Caenorhabditis elegans: one gene and its partners. The protein of the gene in region 1 interacts with the protein of each later gene in a pairwise test. Each region holds a gene or a part of one and is shown in the gene's direction. Other genes may lie near its edges.

What was found.
Region 2: the proteins of cdc-48.1 (region 1) and ubxn-6 interact in a two-hybrid assay, tested with the Caenorhabditis elegans proteins (one study listed by BioGRID).
Region 3: the proteins of cdc-48.1 (region 1) and ufd-3 interact in a two-hybrid assay, tested with the Caenorhabditis elegans proteins (one study listed by BioGRID).

Annotation. Positions count from the first base shown.
Region 1 is NC_003280.10:10,559,410-10,565,289, reverse strand, and holds cdc-48.1 (Transitional endoplasmic reticulum ATPase homolog 1), read left to right. Parts: upstream 1-1,882; 5' UTR 1,883-1,899; coding exon 1,900-2,097; intron 2,098-2,225; exon of another isoform or gene 2,226-2,338; intron 2,339-2,375; coding exon 2,376-3,203; intron 3,204-3,249; coding exon 3,250-4,322; intron 4,323-4,355; exon of another isoform or gene 4,356-4,573; intron 4,574-4,577; coding exon 4,578-4,772; intron 4,773-4,821; coding exon 4,822-4,957; 3' UTR 4,958-5,259; downstream 5,260-5,880. Other genes in the region: C06A1.7 (uncharacterized protein), read right to left, coding at 1-281, 328-378; C06A1.6 (uncharacterized protein), read left to right, coding at 614-679, 723-1,115. UniProt on the Caenorhabditis elegans protein: ATP-dependent chaperone which probably uses the energy provided by ATP hydrolysis to generate mechanical force to unfold substrate proteins, disassemble protein complexes, and disaggregate protein aggregates.
Region 2 is NC_003282.8:4,806,809-4,811,064, reverse strand, and holds ubxn-6 (UBX domain-containing protein 6), read left to right. Parts: upstream 1-1,577; coding exon 1,578-2,114; exon of another isoform or gene 2,115-2,596; coding exon 2,597-2,998; intron 2,999-3,047; coding exon 3,048-3,158; intron 3,159-3,211; coding exon 3,212-3,475; 3' UTR 3,476-3,639; downstream 3,640-4,256. Other genes in the region: eif-1.A (Eukaryotic translation initiation factor 4C), read right to left, coding at 30-129; H06H21.37 (uncharacterized protein), read left to right, coding at 1,101-1,274, 1,370-1,517, 1,568-1,581; H06H21.11 (uncharacterized protein), read left to right, coding at 3,773-3,855, 3,909-4,256. UniProt on the Caenorhabditis elegans protein: Probably acts as an adapter for ATPase cdc-48.1 and/or cdc-48.2, conferring substrate specificity. Involved in the lysosomal clearance of cellular material in diet restricted conditions.
Region 3 is NC_003280.10:9,939,037-9,944,577, forward strand, and holds ufd-3 (Ubiquitin fusion degradation protein 3 homolog), read left to right. Parts: upstream 1-1,721; 5' UTR 1,722-1,724; coding exon 1,725-1,769; intron 1,770-1,814; coding exon 1,815-2,127; intron 2,128-2,176; coding exon 2,177-2,283; intron 2,284-2,330; coding exon 2,331-3,092; intron 3,093-3,142; coding exon 3,143-3,458; intron 3,459-3,512; coding exon 3,513-3,754; intron 3,755-3,810; coding exon 3,811-4,163; intron 4,164-4,217; coding exon 4,218-4,443; intron 4,444-4,489; coding exon 4,490-4,594; intron 4,595-4,641; coding exon 4,642-4,755; 3' UTR 4,756-4,970; downstream 4,971-5,541. Other genes in the region: C05C10.5 (uncharacterized protein), read left to right, coding at 191-232, 278-381, 430-771, 828-978; flad-1 (Molybdenum cofactor biosynthesis protein-like region), read left to right, coding at 5,101-5,253, 5,304-5,427. UniProt on the Caenorhabditis elegans protein: Plays a role in protein ubiquitination, sorting and degradation through its association with cdc-48.1 and/or cdc-48.2.

The DNA of each region.
Region 1 (5,880 bases):
CATCCGCATCCGCAACCACATCCACAACAGCATGGTCTACAGCAGGTACAACATCTAGTACAGCAACAAGTTCTACAACAAGTACAACAACATTTGGGTCTACAACAGCAGCAGCATCTTGGTCTGCAGCAGCAACATCCACATCCACCACCACCTCCTCCACATCCACAACATCCACAACATCCTCCATTTCTTTTAACACGAGAAGATCCGATAATTGATGTTTCAGATGAAATTATAGATATTTCTGTTGTTGATACTGGCAAAACTCCTGATTCAACCTATAATAGTATTGTGTTTTCTAACATTTAGAACCTTTACCGATACCTGTGAAATAGCAATAAGGGCAAAGAGAGTCAGAAGTACGATCTTATTCATTTCAGATTATTAGCGTTCGATATGGTTTTCGAATTTCCATCCATTAAATACCCTCTTCTTCTTACGTGTTTGTCGTCTCTCATTTGACACTTTTGCCGGAAACCATTTTTTGTGATCTCTCCGCGCGAGCCGCGTCATGGAAATTGAACACAAAAACTAAGACACTTTGGATCATGGAAAAGTTATATAAAAGCACCATAAAATTGAGATATTCATCAGTTTCTATTCGATCAAAATGACCAAATTCATAATTGGATCTACATTAGTTGTACTGATTTATACAATTGTATCGATTTCACAGGTTAGATTAATAGATTTAGTTCTCGTATTTAAGAAACTTATAGGTTGAATCAGGAGTTTTGCCAGTATCAACAACAGAAATATCTATAATTTCATCTGAAACATCAATTATCGGATCTTCTCGTGTTAAAAGAAATGGAGGATGTTGTGGATGTTGTGGATGTGGAGGAGGTGGTGGTGGATGTGGATGTTGCTGTTGCAGACCAAGATGCTGCTGCTGTTGTAGACCCAAATGTTGTTGTACTTGTTGTAGAACTTGTTGCTGTACTAGATGTTGTACCTGCTGTAGACCATGCTGTTGTGGATGTGGTTGCGGATGCGGATGCTGTGGATGTGGAGGTGGAGGTCGTAAACGTCGTTCCCTTCAAAAACTTCAAATTGATGAAGCTAATCGTGCTCTTGGAATCAAAAGAAGACCATCCAATGGCAAATGTTAATCCATTAATCTATTTGTTTAATTTATTCTAATTCTCGATCGGGAATAAATAATTTGGAAATTATTCAACTTATTAAATTCATAGATCTGGGAAACTATCAAGAATCAAAATCTTAAGACTATTCTCCTCTCGTCTCGTTTCACATCTCTTCGTTCTCCGTCTATCGATCGGGTGATGCTGCAAATCATTTTTATCGATCTACAAAGTGCTGCATTTACTAACGGCATATCGTTTCGAGACCCAAACGCTGATGTGCGTTATTGCAAATAACAGTTATTTTTCCAAACCAGCATTACATTACAGTCCACTTTTTTTCCTTTTCATATTTTCATCCTGGACCCAGCTACATACATTACCGCAAACGTGCAAACGGTAGATTTTATTTACTAGTTCCTTTTTTCCGAAAAATTTCAAAAAATTGTAAACTGCGTTTCCGTTTTCAAAGAACTTTTTTGAAGTTTCAACGCTTTTCATCGCAAATATTTACAAATACGTCTCGTTATTTAGAAATTTTAAAATTTTTTGAACAGTGAAAATCCTTTTCAAACTTCGCGCTAAAATTATAAAGCAACCGCGCCCTAACGTCAGAATCACCAAACACTTTTTGCGTACACTTGTTGAAAACACGCTTCTATATGCGTGGATGATGACAATTTTCAAATCTGTGTCGTTTTTAGAAATAATTTCGTGAACTTTTTTAAAATCTCAATTTTCTTTTATAGTTTCGTTCCCACTATCATTTTGGACACTCATTCTTCTTATTTTAGGTCTTAAATTGTACATAATGGCCTCGGTTCCAACGCATCAAAGCGAAAAAGAGAAGAAAAATGATGAGCTGTCGACAGCTATTCTCAAGGACAAGGTAAAGCCGAATCGCTTGATCGTCGATCAGTCCGAGCAGGATGATAATTCCGTCATCGCAGTTTCCCAAGCTAAAATGGACGAACTGGGACTTTTCCGTGGAGATGCTGTCATCCTGAAGGTATGTGTTTCTTTTTAATTTTTGATTAAAACGCACAATTTAAGAACTTGTAATGTCTGTGATTTACAATATAGGCTGAAAAACGTTCTGTTTTGAAGCTAGTACTGTTTATTTGCTGATGGTTTTATGAGTGTCATAGTTGTGCGATATAGATCAAGTAACGAATCGTTTCAAAGTATTTCGTAATCCTAACACCACGCAAAGGTGCTGATCTCGATTTTTAAACGGTTGTCACACAATTAAATTTTATTTTTCGATTCTAATGATTATTTTTGCAGGGAAAGAAGCGAAAGGAATCTGTCGCCATCATTGTCTCTGATGAGTCCTGTCCAAACGAGAAAGTTCGCATGAACCGTGTTGTCCGCAACAATCTTCGTATTCGCCTCGGAGACGTCGTGAGCATTACGCCAGCTCCAAATCTCAGTTACGGAACCCGCATTCACGTGCTCCCTATTGATGACACTATCGAAGGACTCACTGGAAACTTGTTCGATGTTTTCCTCAAGCCATACTTCCTGGAGGCTTACCGCCCACTTCACAAGGGAGATATATTCACTGTTCAAGCTGCCATGAGAACTGTGGAATTCAAAGTTGTCGAAACTGAGCCAGCTCCAGCCTGCATTGTGTCACCTGATACCATGATTCACTACGAAGGAGATCCGATCAAGAGAGAAGAAGAAGAAGAGAGCATGAATGATATTGGTTATGATGACTTGGGAGGAGTTCGGAAGCAATTGGCTCAGATCAAGGAAATGGTTGAACTGCCACTTCGACATCCCCAACTTTTCAAGGCTATTGGTATCAAGCCACCACGTGGAATTCTTCTCTTCGGTCCACCTGGCACAGGAAAGACTCTTATTGCACGTGCTGTTGCTAATGAAACCGGATCTTTCTTCTTCCTTATCAACGGACCTGAAGTAATGTCAAAGATGTCTGGAGAATCCGAGTCAAATCTTCGTAAGGCTTTCGAAGAATGCGAGAAGAATCAACCAGCTATTCTGTTTATTGACGAAATTGACGCCATTGCACCAAAACGCGAGAAGACCAATGGAGAAGTTGAGCGCAGAATTGTTTCTCAATTGCTTACACTTATGGATGGAGTCAAGGTATGCTTTTAAATTTTATATGATTCGATAATAATAATTATTTTAGGGTCGTTCTAACCTTGTGGTCATTGCTGCAACAAATCGTCCAAACTCGATTGACGGTGCTCTTCGTCGCTTCGGAAGATTCGATCGTGAAATCGATATCGGAATTCCAGATGCAGTCGGCCGGCTTGAGATTCTGCGCATTCACACGAAAAACATGAAGCTCGCGGATGATGTTGATCTTGAACAAATTGCAAATGAATGTCACGGATTCGTTGGTGCCGATTTGGCATCGTTGTGCTCGGAAGCCGCTCTTCAACAGATTCGTGAAAAGATGGAGCTCATTGATCTCGAAGATGACCAAATTGATGCAGAGGTTCTTAATTCACTCGCTGTCACAATGGAAAACTTCCGTTTTGCTCAAGGAAAGTCTTCCCCATCCGCTCTCCGCGAGGCTGTTGTCGAAACTCCGAATACAACTTGGTCCGACATTGGAGGTCTTCAAAACGTCAAGCGCGAACTTCAAGAATTGGTTCAGTATCCAGTGGAACACCCAGAAAAATATCTCAAGTTTGGAATGCAGCCATCAAGAGGAGTTTTGTTCTATGGGCCACCAGGATGTGGTAAGACACTTCTTGCCAAGGCAATTGCCAACGAGTGTCAAGCCAATTTCATCTCCATCAAGGGTCCAGAATTGCTCACAATGTGGTTCGGAGAATCGGAAGCTAACGTCCGTGATGTCTTCGACAAGGCTCGTGCAGCTGCTCCTTGCGTGTTGTTCTTCGATGAGTTGGATTCGATTGCCAAGGCAAGAGGTGGAGGCGCCGGCGGTGATGGAGGAGGTGCATCGGATCGTGTAATCAATCAAGTGCTCACCGAAATGGATGGAATGAACGCGAAGAAAAATGTGTTCATCATCGGAGCTACAAACAGACCTGATATCATTGATCCAGCTGTTCTTCGTCCAGGTCGCCTTGATCAGCTTATCTACATCCCACTCCCAGACGAAGCTTCTCGGCACCAAATTTTGAAAGCTTCTCTTCGTAAAACCCCACTCTCCAAGGATCTTGACTTGACCTTCTTGGCCAAAAACACTGTTGGATTCTCTGGAGCCGATTTGACCGAAATTTGTCAGAGGTGAGTAATTTAATTATTTGAAAATTTGTTCAAAACGCACAACTTAAGAACTTGCGAAATCTACACATTCTTGGCTCTTCTTAGCTGCGTTTTGCAGTTCAGATTCTGCCAAGTTTTGTGTTCATGGTTACGCGAGTGTCATATTTGTGCTATATAAAAAATCGTCTCACAGTAAATTATAATAGTTAGAGTATCTAAAGTCGCGCTAAGGCCCCGATATTCTATTTTTCCTGGTGTGAACGATGACATTTTCAGAGCGTGTAAGCTGGCTATTCGCGAATCGATCGAAAAGGAAATTCGGATTGAGAAGGAACGTCAAGATCGCCAAGCTCGCGGTGAGGAGCTCATGGAAGACGATGCAGTTGATCCAGTACCAGAAATTACTCGTGCTCACTTCGAGGAAGCCATGAAGTTTGCCAGACGCTCTGTTACAGACAATGACATCAGAAAGTGAGTTTTGATAATGGTTTTATTGTATGTCTATAAAATATGTTTGTAGGTACGAAATGTTTGCACAAACATTGCAACAATCTCGTGGCTTTGGAAACAACTTCAAATTCCCAGGAGAACAACGCGGAAGCGATGCCCCATCTGCCCCTGTACCTGCTCAGGATGATGACGACCTTTATAACTAATGTATTGAGTTTATCTACTGAGTCTATGTATGATACTCGTTTTATTTTCTCCCATACCCACTTTTTCACCTCGTATTTCACCCCTTTCCAACCCCCGATTTACCACTATTTATTGTAATTGAGCCCATGTTTTCGCTTTAGAAATTAATGGTTACGGATGATCTTCGCGAGAAGAAAAAATTTGTAGATACCTACATCCCAGTTGATCAAAAAGTATATCCCATTTATTTTTTTGCATCCCTCCCAATGTTTTGTATGTATTGCCGTTTTTGACATATAAATGTACGATGTCTGTAATCATAATTGTGTACGATTGTGTTGCCATATTCAAACTATTATTTGTGATTGTGTAGGTGGAATTGTCTCATGACCAATGACTGGTTGTTCCGTTGATAATGGGAAGCTGTATTTAAGATAAGTTGCCTAAGTTTAACGTAATTTTTTGGACCAGGTTTTAATATCAATCATCAAACCTATTTAGCGATCCAGTTGTTCTTGATCTTTTGGAAAGTAGAAGTGCTTTTTCATTCATTGATATCATTTTCCATCGATATTGTCTCCACACTCATAGGAGTGCACGCATTTCGTACATAGTCATGAGGTTTTTAACAAAGAAAATGCCGAATTGAGTACTATAGTTGCTTATCTTCAAGCTTGTTGAACTCGTTTCTGGCCAATTTTCAAAAATTCCTTGTCCTCGTTGTCTGTCACATGAATCTTTTAGATCAGATATTAATATTGATAGTAACTGATAAGTGCCAATAGTTTTCAAATTCTTAAAAATATCTGAAAACACAAAATTTGCCGCAAATATGCACATTTTTGTAAGAAACACCGTCACGAACAAATTCACACTACAGTGCTTTTGTTTTTTTTTTCTAGAAAAATTGGTTTTTCATGCCTGAAAGTCGCATTTCTACTAT
Region 2 (4,256 bases), on another chromosome or scaffold:
TTTTTCGGGAAAGAAGTTATAAAATCTACCTTGTCCCTCCTCCTTGAGGTCGAGCTCGCGCTTCATGAAGTCGTTCTCATTCTTTCCTCTTCTGCGATTCTTTCCTCCCTTTCCCTTATTCTTCGGCATTGCTGAAAATATTACGAAATAATTTGGAAAGTTGAAGTTACGAGAAATACAGAAGCAAAGAGGACTGCAAAAATTGTAGAAAAAACAAGAACATAAATATGCATAAGGTAATGTCAGATTTCAATGGAATTTAACAAAAAATTAAGAAGAATGAGTATACTATCCCAAAATAAACAGTTTGCTTGGATTTCGTGAGTATTTTGATGAAAAGTGATTTCTAAAAATTGGAAATAATAATTTTATCAGCGCTTGAGATTAAAATTATGTCGTCAATCGACAAAAATAAACAAAATAACAGAAGAAAAATTTCAATGAAAAATCGACGAAAATGTGGAGTGCACAGAAAAGTGGGCGGGGTTTGCTATCGCAAGAGCGCGGCGCGAGGTTACGTAACTGCGGACTTGGCGACACAATTTACGACACTCGCTATTTTTATTTTTTATTTTGCTTATTTTTTATTTTTCTCTCTAAAATTTTGTTGTTTTAACGAATTGTTTTCGGAAAAAAGTTATTCAGAATCAAAGATTACTTCATAGAATATAATTATTGTCCAAAATATAAAAGAATTGTAAGATAAACATCTCAAAACGAACATTTAACCGCAAAAACGTATTTTGGGAAAACAATCACAAACTTTTCACGCAAAAGTGTTTTACCTACATTTTTTTGTAGTTTATTAAGTCACAAAATTAACGACATCATGAAAAATACAGCAGATAATATTTTTCTGTCCGAAAGCTTTCCCCAGTTTAGTTTTCTCCAATAGAAAAACTCCAAGTTTTTTATAGCGTTTTCGAGATGAGCTTTTTTTCAAATTTTCTGAAATGAAGTTTGAAGTTTGTATACAACCCAAAATATATGTTTATCACCGTGCAATATCACAAATGTCGTCATCGCCTTCTGTCCTATTTCGCAATCATTAATTTCCGCAAATCTCTCTGAAAAAGAACTACAATTCCAGCTATTCTTGCATGGGAGAGCCTCTGGTCGCCGAGCCGACAACTGAGCAGACTCCGTTGAGCACAAATTCAGTTGCTTATCAGAGCTCCGACGCGCTTCCAGATTCCTCAGAAGCATTCGGAGTAGAAAACGTTTATCGTGCTTTGATTATCTTCTGTGATAATTATTCGTTGGATAAAAAACAAGTGCGTTAGAGAACATGTTTTTGAGATTTTCGAAATTTTAACGTGAATTATTGTTCTTGTTTCTGTCTAAAATGGCCAAAATTTGAAAATTTCAGGTAGCTCTCGGACTCTTTCTTTCTATTCTACTTTTCATCTTCTCTGTTGGCACTATCATTGCGTGGAATCGATATTCACCAATCATTCAGGAGTTTATCATAAGAGAGAACATTGAGAAAGCGAGAAATAAGAGCAACGAAAAAAATAGTAAGATATTTAACAAGTTCTGCACTGATAACCATTCCAATTTATTTCAGAGAAAGAAGAATGAATAGTTTCAAGAAATTCCTCAACAAAAAGCGAGTCCAGAATCACTTCAAAAAGAGCGGTGAAGGTGTTCGTTTGTCATCCGGCGAGTCATCTTCGCAGCCTTCTGCCCACGCTGGAGCCGCCCAGGGAGGCCAAATTGATCGTGTCGCGGCCGCTGATATTGCTGCTCAGGCTGCTTTCAAACGGATGCAGAAGAATGAACCTCAACAAAATGCTGGAAAACGAAGAATTCAAATGATTGCAAAACGAGAGCTGGAAGAAGAGAGACGTCAGGTTGAAGATCTCAACATTTCTGGGACTTCATCACTGCAGCAACCCGACCGTGAGCAACACCTCGAGCATTCATCCGCAATATCACGTGTTCTCTACACTTCCGAGTTGCTCGGTGAGCATCATATTCGCTCGAAAGCAGATCTTCTTGAAGATATCAAAAATTTCCTTTCTGATCAGATCAGCGAGGCGGATGATGAAAACGATAAAGTGATTGCCGCAGTTTTGATGCTCTATTCACTTAATAAGAAACATCCCAAGGAGGTTTGTGTATGCTCAGAATTTCAAAATATCGAAAAAAAATGAACTCATTCTGGCTAAAATCTCCAATTTTGTCAACTTTTGTGTGTTGCAGCGGTCGGAAAATGTTTTTTAATCTATTGTAATAGTTTCTCACATGTTATAATAACGTTATTTCGTTATTTAGCCAATTTGATCATTTTTAGCTAACAATAGGCTAAAAAAGTTACTTTGTTAACGGAATATTTCGGCAAATTGAAGAGTTTCGCTAAAATTTGCCCGTTTTTTTTTTCTCAAAATTTTGAACCGCCATCATAGTTTTTGTGACATTTTTGTCACATTACCGTTGAAATTAAACTATCTATCCGCAAATTTCGCAAAAATCAGCGTCGCACAGAAAGAAAAAATCAACACGGATTTTTGTAAATCTGCGAATCGGTCGTTTCACCTAAACTGTACGAAATTCGTTGTTTTGGTAGAAAAACAAACAATCTTCTAAATTTCAGACTGCCATCGAAACAATCTGCAAGTATTGTCAAAACATTTTGGAACACCCAGGAGAGGATAAATACAAATCAATTCGTTTGGGAAATAAGGCATTCCAAGAACGAGTTGCATCAGTAGTTGGAGGACGTGCATTCCTTGAAGCTGTTGGATTTACTGAGAAATCTGAAGGAGAAGACAAGTTCCTTGTGTTCACAAAACCATCAGATGTTCATTTGGTGGAGGCTCTGGAAGCTTTGAAGGATGGGCAGGCTGTGCCTATAAAGGTTGCTAGAAATCTAGAGATCTTCAAGCTAAAAGAGGGGCAAAAACCGAAAGCACCAAAGTTGGCAGATGATTTTTACAATTTGTCGACTGCTGAACTCAAAGCCGAACAGAGAAATAAGGAGATGCAGGTGGAGAGAGTGAGTGGAGCTTTAAATTGAAAAATCACACAATAAATTGAATTTTTAGATGCTGACATTGCGTACGAAGGAAATGAGACAAAAAGACGAACAAATGACCAATTATCGCTACAAATATACGTTGATTCGTGTCAGATTGCCTGGAAATTTGTTGATGCAGGTATGTATATTCCAGAAATTCAAGTGATTAATTATTTTATTTTATTTTTCCAGGGAGTATTTGGTTGCCATGAACCATTTTCCGCAGTCCGTGTCTTCGTTGCTTCAACTCTTTCCGATGCTCTTTCGACATCCGAATTCACTCTTCGTGACGCTGCCAGTCAACTCGTGGAGGATGAATCTGCATCGTTGGCTCAACTCAGTCTTGCTCCAGCTGCTCTTCTTCATGTCGTCTTCGCTGAAAACCTGTCTGATTATGGACAAATCGTTGCCGATGAGCATATCGAAATTATCCAGGAGCTTGAAGCTTCCGACTAATTTTTGTATAATTTAAAAATATAATTCCCGGCTATTAGTGTGATATGTTTGTCATTATTTTTTTCCGGTACTGCTGATGTTTTATTTCGCCTAATCGCTTTCGTTGTATTTAACTTATAAGATGCAAAAAGATTCGAGCAGCATATTAAAGATTTTGTACAGAACCGCACTTTAACTGTTTCTCTATTCGTTGTATATCGATTTTTATTTTGAAAATTATTCACTCTATCAAGAAGAAGCCGAAATTCCGCCCACTGCATCTTTTTTCAGTTGTGCTTCTCCAAAAACCATTTTCAGATGTCACAGGATCCCACGATCTCCAATTTTTTAAATGGAAAACCCATCATCGCACCTGTCGGGCCATCTTCTTTATTAACCAGGTTACTTTGAAGCAATTATTTAATTTTTAAGAAAAATTAATTCGAAATTTAAGATTACAATCGTTCCTGCCTCAAATGGAAGAAGCCAATCGAAATATGCCGGAAAACGCGTCAGCTGACGCTTTTCATATTGAAAATGTCGAGGATGACAGCTCGGACGACAGCGATTCGAATTCAGAATCGATTTCGGAAGAGGTACCTGTCACAACTGACGAAAAGAGCACAGCGAGTAGTACACAGAGGATTGAAATTGATTTAGACGTGTTCAAGGAGATGAACAGCGCAGTTGATGACAGAGATGTCGGAATTCAGAATGTCGAAGCTCTTCCAGAAGCATTTCAGTCAAAAGGAGAGGATTCGAAACCGGAAATTACAAAGAAACCGTTGATTGAAGAATTATG
Region 3 (5,541 bases), 620 kb from region 1:
AAAAAAAACAAAAACAATTATTTTCGACCTACTTATTTTATTGATCTGCCTCTATTTTACCGATGAAAGTGTATCAGTCGAAAATTAAAATTATGCGCGGGAAAATTCTGATTTTTTCATTTAAATTTTCGCTTGTCATTCATTCCACAGACCCATTTTTTCTCCCTCTCACCTATTTCACACACTAATTATGGAGCATTTTCATGGAAATCGCTGGGACCAGTTGCGTGCTGTGAGTTCTTGAATTAAAATTCGTTTACAATATTTATATTTTCAGGTAGAAGCTGATATTCTGTGTCCCCCGCCTGCAGATCCATTCCAAATCTTCCCCAGTGGATGGACCAGAGCCTCGGAGCTCAGCGAAAAGGGATGGAGAGAATTGTTTGTCCCAAAATGTTATATAATTGTTTCTATAATAAGATTATTCAGGCTTGACCGCAGAAGATCGCAAAGCCCGCCACCACGTGAACCATCACCAGACGTCAGAAGAGCGATCAGACGGACACCGCCGCCACGTGTCAACCGTGTGGCTCCGATTCGACTTCCAGAGCGGCGTCCATTGCGGCAATTGAACGCCAATGACGCCAGAAGACCAGCACAAGACGCTGCAAATCGCATAAATCAAGAGAATATGCGTGCAGGAAATATCGACAATGGGCAGCCACGTCGTCGAGCACTCTCCCCGACACAATTGCCAGGAGTTCGTGCGATTCCAAAGGACTTCAATCGCTTCTTCCGTGGTCTTCTGACACCTGGAGAGTTCTTTGCCAAGTGAGTTTGGATTTTCTAGCTGTTTTTAGGCTCAATTTAAATATTAAAATTTTCAGATCGCAAACCCGGTATCTTGGGCCATTCGACGAAATGCCAACGGAGGATACACTTCCAGCAGCCGACGAGTACATCATTCTGCAGCGAATGGGACGACTTCCGGATAGCGGTAAATCAATCTTCAGACAGGTCGGCAATCTGTCTACATGATTCCCAGGACTGAAATTGCTGCCCCTCAACGTTTTATCCACATTTTTCCAGTTGAGATCGCATTTTTATCTTTAAAAAATTTACTAAACCTTATTGTTGCCATGAGTCATAATTGTGATATACCTATAATTCCTTAATATAATCAATCTTCTTGAATCCACCCCACTCATTGATTAGTTGTGTGCAATAATAACTTTCGTTTAATGTTTGTAGTCTATTGGTATCGCTGTTTTAGCGTTTTTATGTTGTTTTATAATGAACCAACACCGTTTCCCCATTTATACTTGCGTAGGACAAAAATAAATCAATTGTCTATCAAACTCGGTTCCTTTCTTGTTTTTTTTTTGAAGAATTAAAAAGGTATCACTCCTGTTTCGAGACTATCTAGTGCGATGTAAATTTCGCTCTCAAAAAACCTACTAAATTAAAAAAAGTTTGCCGATAAAAGTATTATTTATTTTTAATTATTGAATTTTTAACACTCTTTGCAAAGTCTTGATGTTCTGTGAAACTTCAAATATTTATTTAAGCGAATCTGAATGCCCTTCTCCAAAAAATTGCATCCTATCAGTGTTAAATTTTGAATTCCCGCAAATTTGCCTACTGCGGGGTCGTAGAAATCCTCTTCCATGTGGCGTTAGTTCGGAGCATCGTTTGCAGTTTGTCATCAAAACTTTTTCGGATTTTTCTCAATTTCGTTATATTTTTTTGTTGATTAACTTTAATTAAAAGCTATTCTTCAGATAATGGCAGATGACGGTCTCGGTGACGTGCCAATGGAAACGGAAAGTGTGAGTTTTAGAATTTGCCGAATTGAAGTGGAATTTATTTTGCAGATGCCACAGTACACAATTTCCCATGTTATTGAAGCCCACAAATCCGACACAAAGGCTTTGGCAGTTACTCAAGGCGGATGCTTGATATCGGGTGGTCGTGATGAGACGGTTAAATTTTGGGCAAAAAAAGGAAAACAGTATACGAAAACGCACGCCTTTGAACAACCGAAAGGAATAACTGTGAACTCCATTGCATACGCTGAACTAGCGGACGGATGGAGACTTTTTGTTGGCCGAAGAGATGGAACAATTGCAGTTTTTGGCCCGAGTCAGGCGGAACCATATGCAATTTTCAATGAGCATAAACAGAATGGTATTTTTGCTTTAAAAAATATTCAAAAGTGCAAAATGAATAATTTCAGTTTGCTGTCTTCACATTAACGAAAAAGCGACTCACATGCTGAGTGGTTCGTGGGATTCCAACGTCATCATCTGGCCGATTACCGAGTTGAACTCGTCGTCATTCACTGTAATATATTTTTAATCGTTTTTTACTGGATTTTAAAGTTAAATTAGTTCCAGACTATTGTTTGTCCAGGCCATACCTTGTCTGTGTGGGCTCTCGCTTCTTTCCCGGATCTTCCCAACACTTATCTATCTGCCAGTGCTGATAAAACAATTCGTATGTGGTTTGGAGATACCACTCTCTCAGTTTTCAAAGGCCATACTGATGTCGTGCGAGCTCTCGTCGTATTATCAAGCTCTCACTTTTTATCTGCTGGAAACGATGGACATATCATTCATTGGGATGTTGCATCAGCGTCGATTCTCAGAAAATTTGCAACTCAGGCACATGAATTCATTTATAGTATGACATTGAGCGATTCCCACATATTAACAACTGGTGAAGACGGAACACTTGAATTTTGGGCAATAGATGGAGGCAAAGATGGAAATTTGGCAATTGTTTCTGAAGCAGTTATTCAATTACCAACTACGAACACTTGGGATGCTAAAGTTTTATTAAATTCCGATATCGCTGTGGCTGGAAGTGATGGACGGATCTATATCATGACCACTGATAAGAATAGAAAAGCTGACGATGATATCTTAGATGCATTTGATGCAGAAGTTGTCGCAAAGCTTACTGCGAAGACGGAAAGGATGAAGCAAGAAGAGCATGAAACTGTCACTATCAAAGTTGACATAGACGATCGACCGACTCAACTAAATCTCAAATACAAAAAGGGAACAGATCCGGGTCTTTGTGCTCAAGAGTTTTTGAGTGAGAATAATTTGCCAATTCACTATCTGGAGGAGATTACTAGATTCATCAAGGTTTGCTTTTTCCATTAATATGTTTCAATGTTGATTTTCATTTATTTCAGGACCGTATTCCAGAAGCTCGGGCATTTGACTTGAAATCTGGCAAAAAAGTTATAGTCGACGGAAAAGAGTACGATTACGCATTAGGTGTTAATTTTGGAAAAGGCGAGCCGGACAAGCAAATGCCATTCAACGTGAATGAGAGCCCTCAGTTTGCTGCTCAACGCTTTGTGGAGAGACATCAACTTCCTGTGAGCGTTATCCCTTCTCTTGCTGGAATGATCAGTCAGGAGATGGACAAGTTGTCGAAAGGAGCTGCTTCTGCTCAGTCTGGATATGAGGATCCGTTTACTGGACCAGGAAGATATGTACCTCAAGGTTCATTGAAATAAAGAAATCAATAACTCCACAATTTCAATATTTGAATTCCAGGTTCGTCGAATTCTGGCGGTCACGGTGCAGATCCTTTCACCGGATCCGGAAGATACGTACCTCAAGCATCAAACTCGAGTGGCTTTGACACTGGTTTTTCTGGTGATCCTCTTACCGGAGACGGTGGATATCGTGCGTCCGCACCTGAAAATACTGGAAGTCATGCCGTTCCTCTATCATCTCTTCCACAAAACAAGAAGAAACCACGTGGACCATTGGTTCCAGTTCCTGATTTTTACATTGTACGTTTTCTAATTCTTCTCCTCAAAATTCAACATACTTAATTCAATGTATTCAGATTGGGCTTGCTGGAAAAGGCGAGAAAGCAATTGCAAAACTGAAAGAGCTAAATGAAAAGCAGGATGCATTCCAATTGAATCCTGATCAGATTAATGGCCTTGAGGAACTTTTTGTTCTCCCAACCTCTTCGAATTATTCATCAGAAGTCACGCAGTCTGCATTCGAAATGTCTCTACAATGGCCAGTGGAGCACTTGACGCCAGTTCTTGATTTTCTGAGAATCGCACTAACTCATCATTCACTGAATTCGTATTTCTGTGATCGTGAACGTGGTCAGGAACTTGTCGGAAGATTAATTGCTATTCTTGTGTCAGATCCGGCTGATGTGGCTTTGAAGGTTCTGGTTTGTAGGTAAGAACAAATATATATTTTCGTCAAGATATAATCGTTGTAATTTATTTACAGATGCATCGCAAATGCATTTTCGCATCCAGTCGGTCGCAACCTGTTTGCTTCCACCGAGCTCTCTACTCTAGCCCCACTGGTTGTTCGTCAAGTTCTTAATGAAAAGACGGTTCTCCAAATGTCTGCTGCTACAGCTCTTGCCAACTGGTCTCTTGCTTTATTGCAACAATCCGAGCAATGCGAACAGCTGGGACCCAAGGAAGACTTATTGAGAGCCATTTTGAACGTAATTCTTCAGATTCGAGAATTTAACAATATCTTCTATTTTTAAGGGAATCGAAAGCGTCGACTCATTCGGATATTTGGGTGAAGACGCCATCATTCGTCTGCTTCAAGCATTAGTTACAGTCATGTGGGGAGATGCCTCAGTTATTCGAGTGAGTTTTCTAGAAATAACAAACATTGTAAACGCAATATTTTCCAGCTTGCCAAAAATCGTAACATTGCCCAAATTGCCGCTCGTCTCAAGGATGCAGTTTCGAACGACTCGGGAAAAAATATTGCTCGTGATATTGTGGAAATGACTTATGCTGTATGAAAAGTGTTCTAAAAGACCGGTTCAATTTTATTTGTATATAAATTGTCCAGTGCTTGTATTTTTTTTCCGGTAAAACCATTTATTTTTCACAGCCCGATTGTACTAGAATTTCAGCCCGATCTAATTTATTTGTTCTTTCTCTATTCATGTTATGTAAAAGACTACATGCTAGCCTGAAAGTTTCCTTATCAATCAATATGAACATGTTCTTGATGTCTTTCTTTTTACCGGTTCAATGGATATTTTACCACAACAATTATCGCAGCTCAGTTGAATTGTGTAGAATTTTTCAAGCTTATACTTCTAAAAGATATTCTCCGTTTTTCACATTATACTTTTCAAAAGATGCGCGCAATGTTCAGAACTCCACGGATGCCACAACGGAAAACCGCAGCGATTCTGGTGATCGGCGATGAGATTCTGAAGGGGACAACAAGAGATACAAATTCCCATTTTCTATGCAAAAGATTGCATAAATTAGGTGTAAACATTAGGAAAGTAAGTGAAGTTGGAGGAAAAACATGAAGGAATTGTGAAGTCATTTTCAGATTTCTGTAATTGGAGATGATATTTCTGAAATTTCTCGCGAAGTTCAGTCTGCCTCTGGGGCATACGACTATGTGATCACAAGTGGTGGTGTTGGGCCGACTCATGATGATAAAACATATTTAGGTAAGATTACTGTTTAAAAATATTGGAACTTGTAGTTAAAAAAAATCAAAAAATTATATTCTCCTCGTAGCGAAAACTACAGTAATTCTTTAAATGGCTACTGTAGCGCCTGTG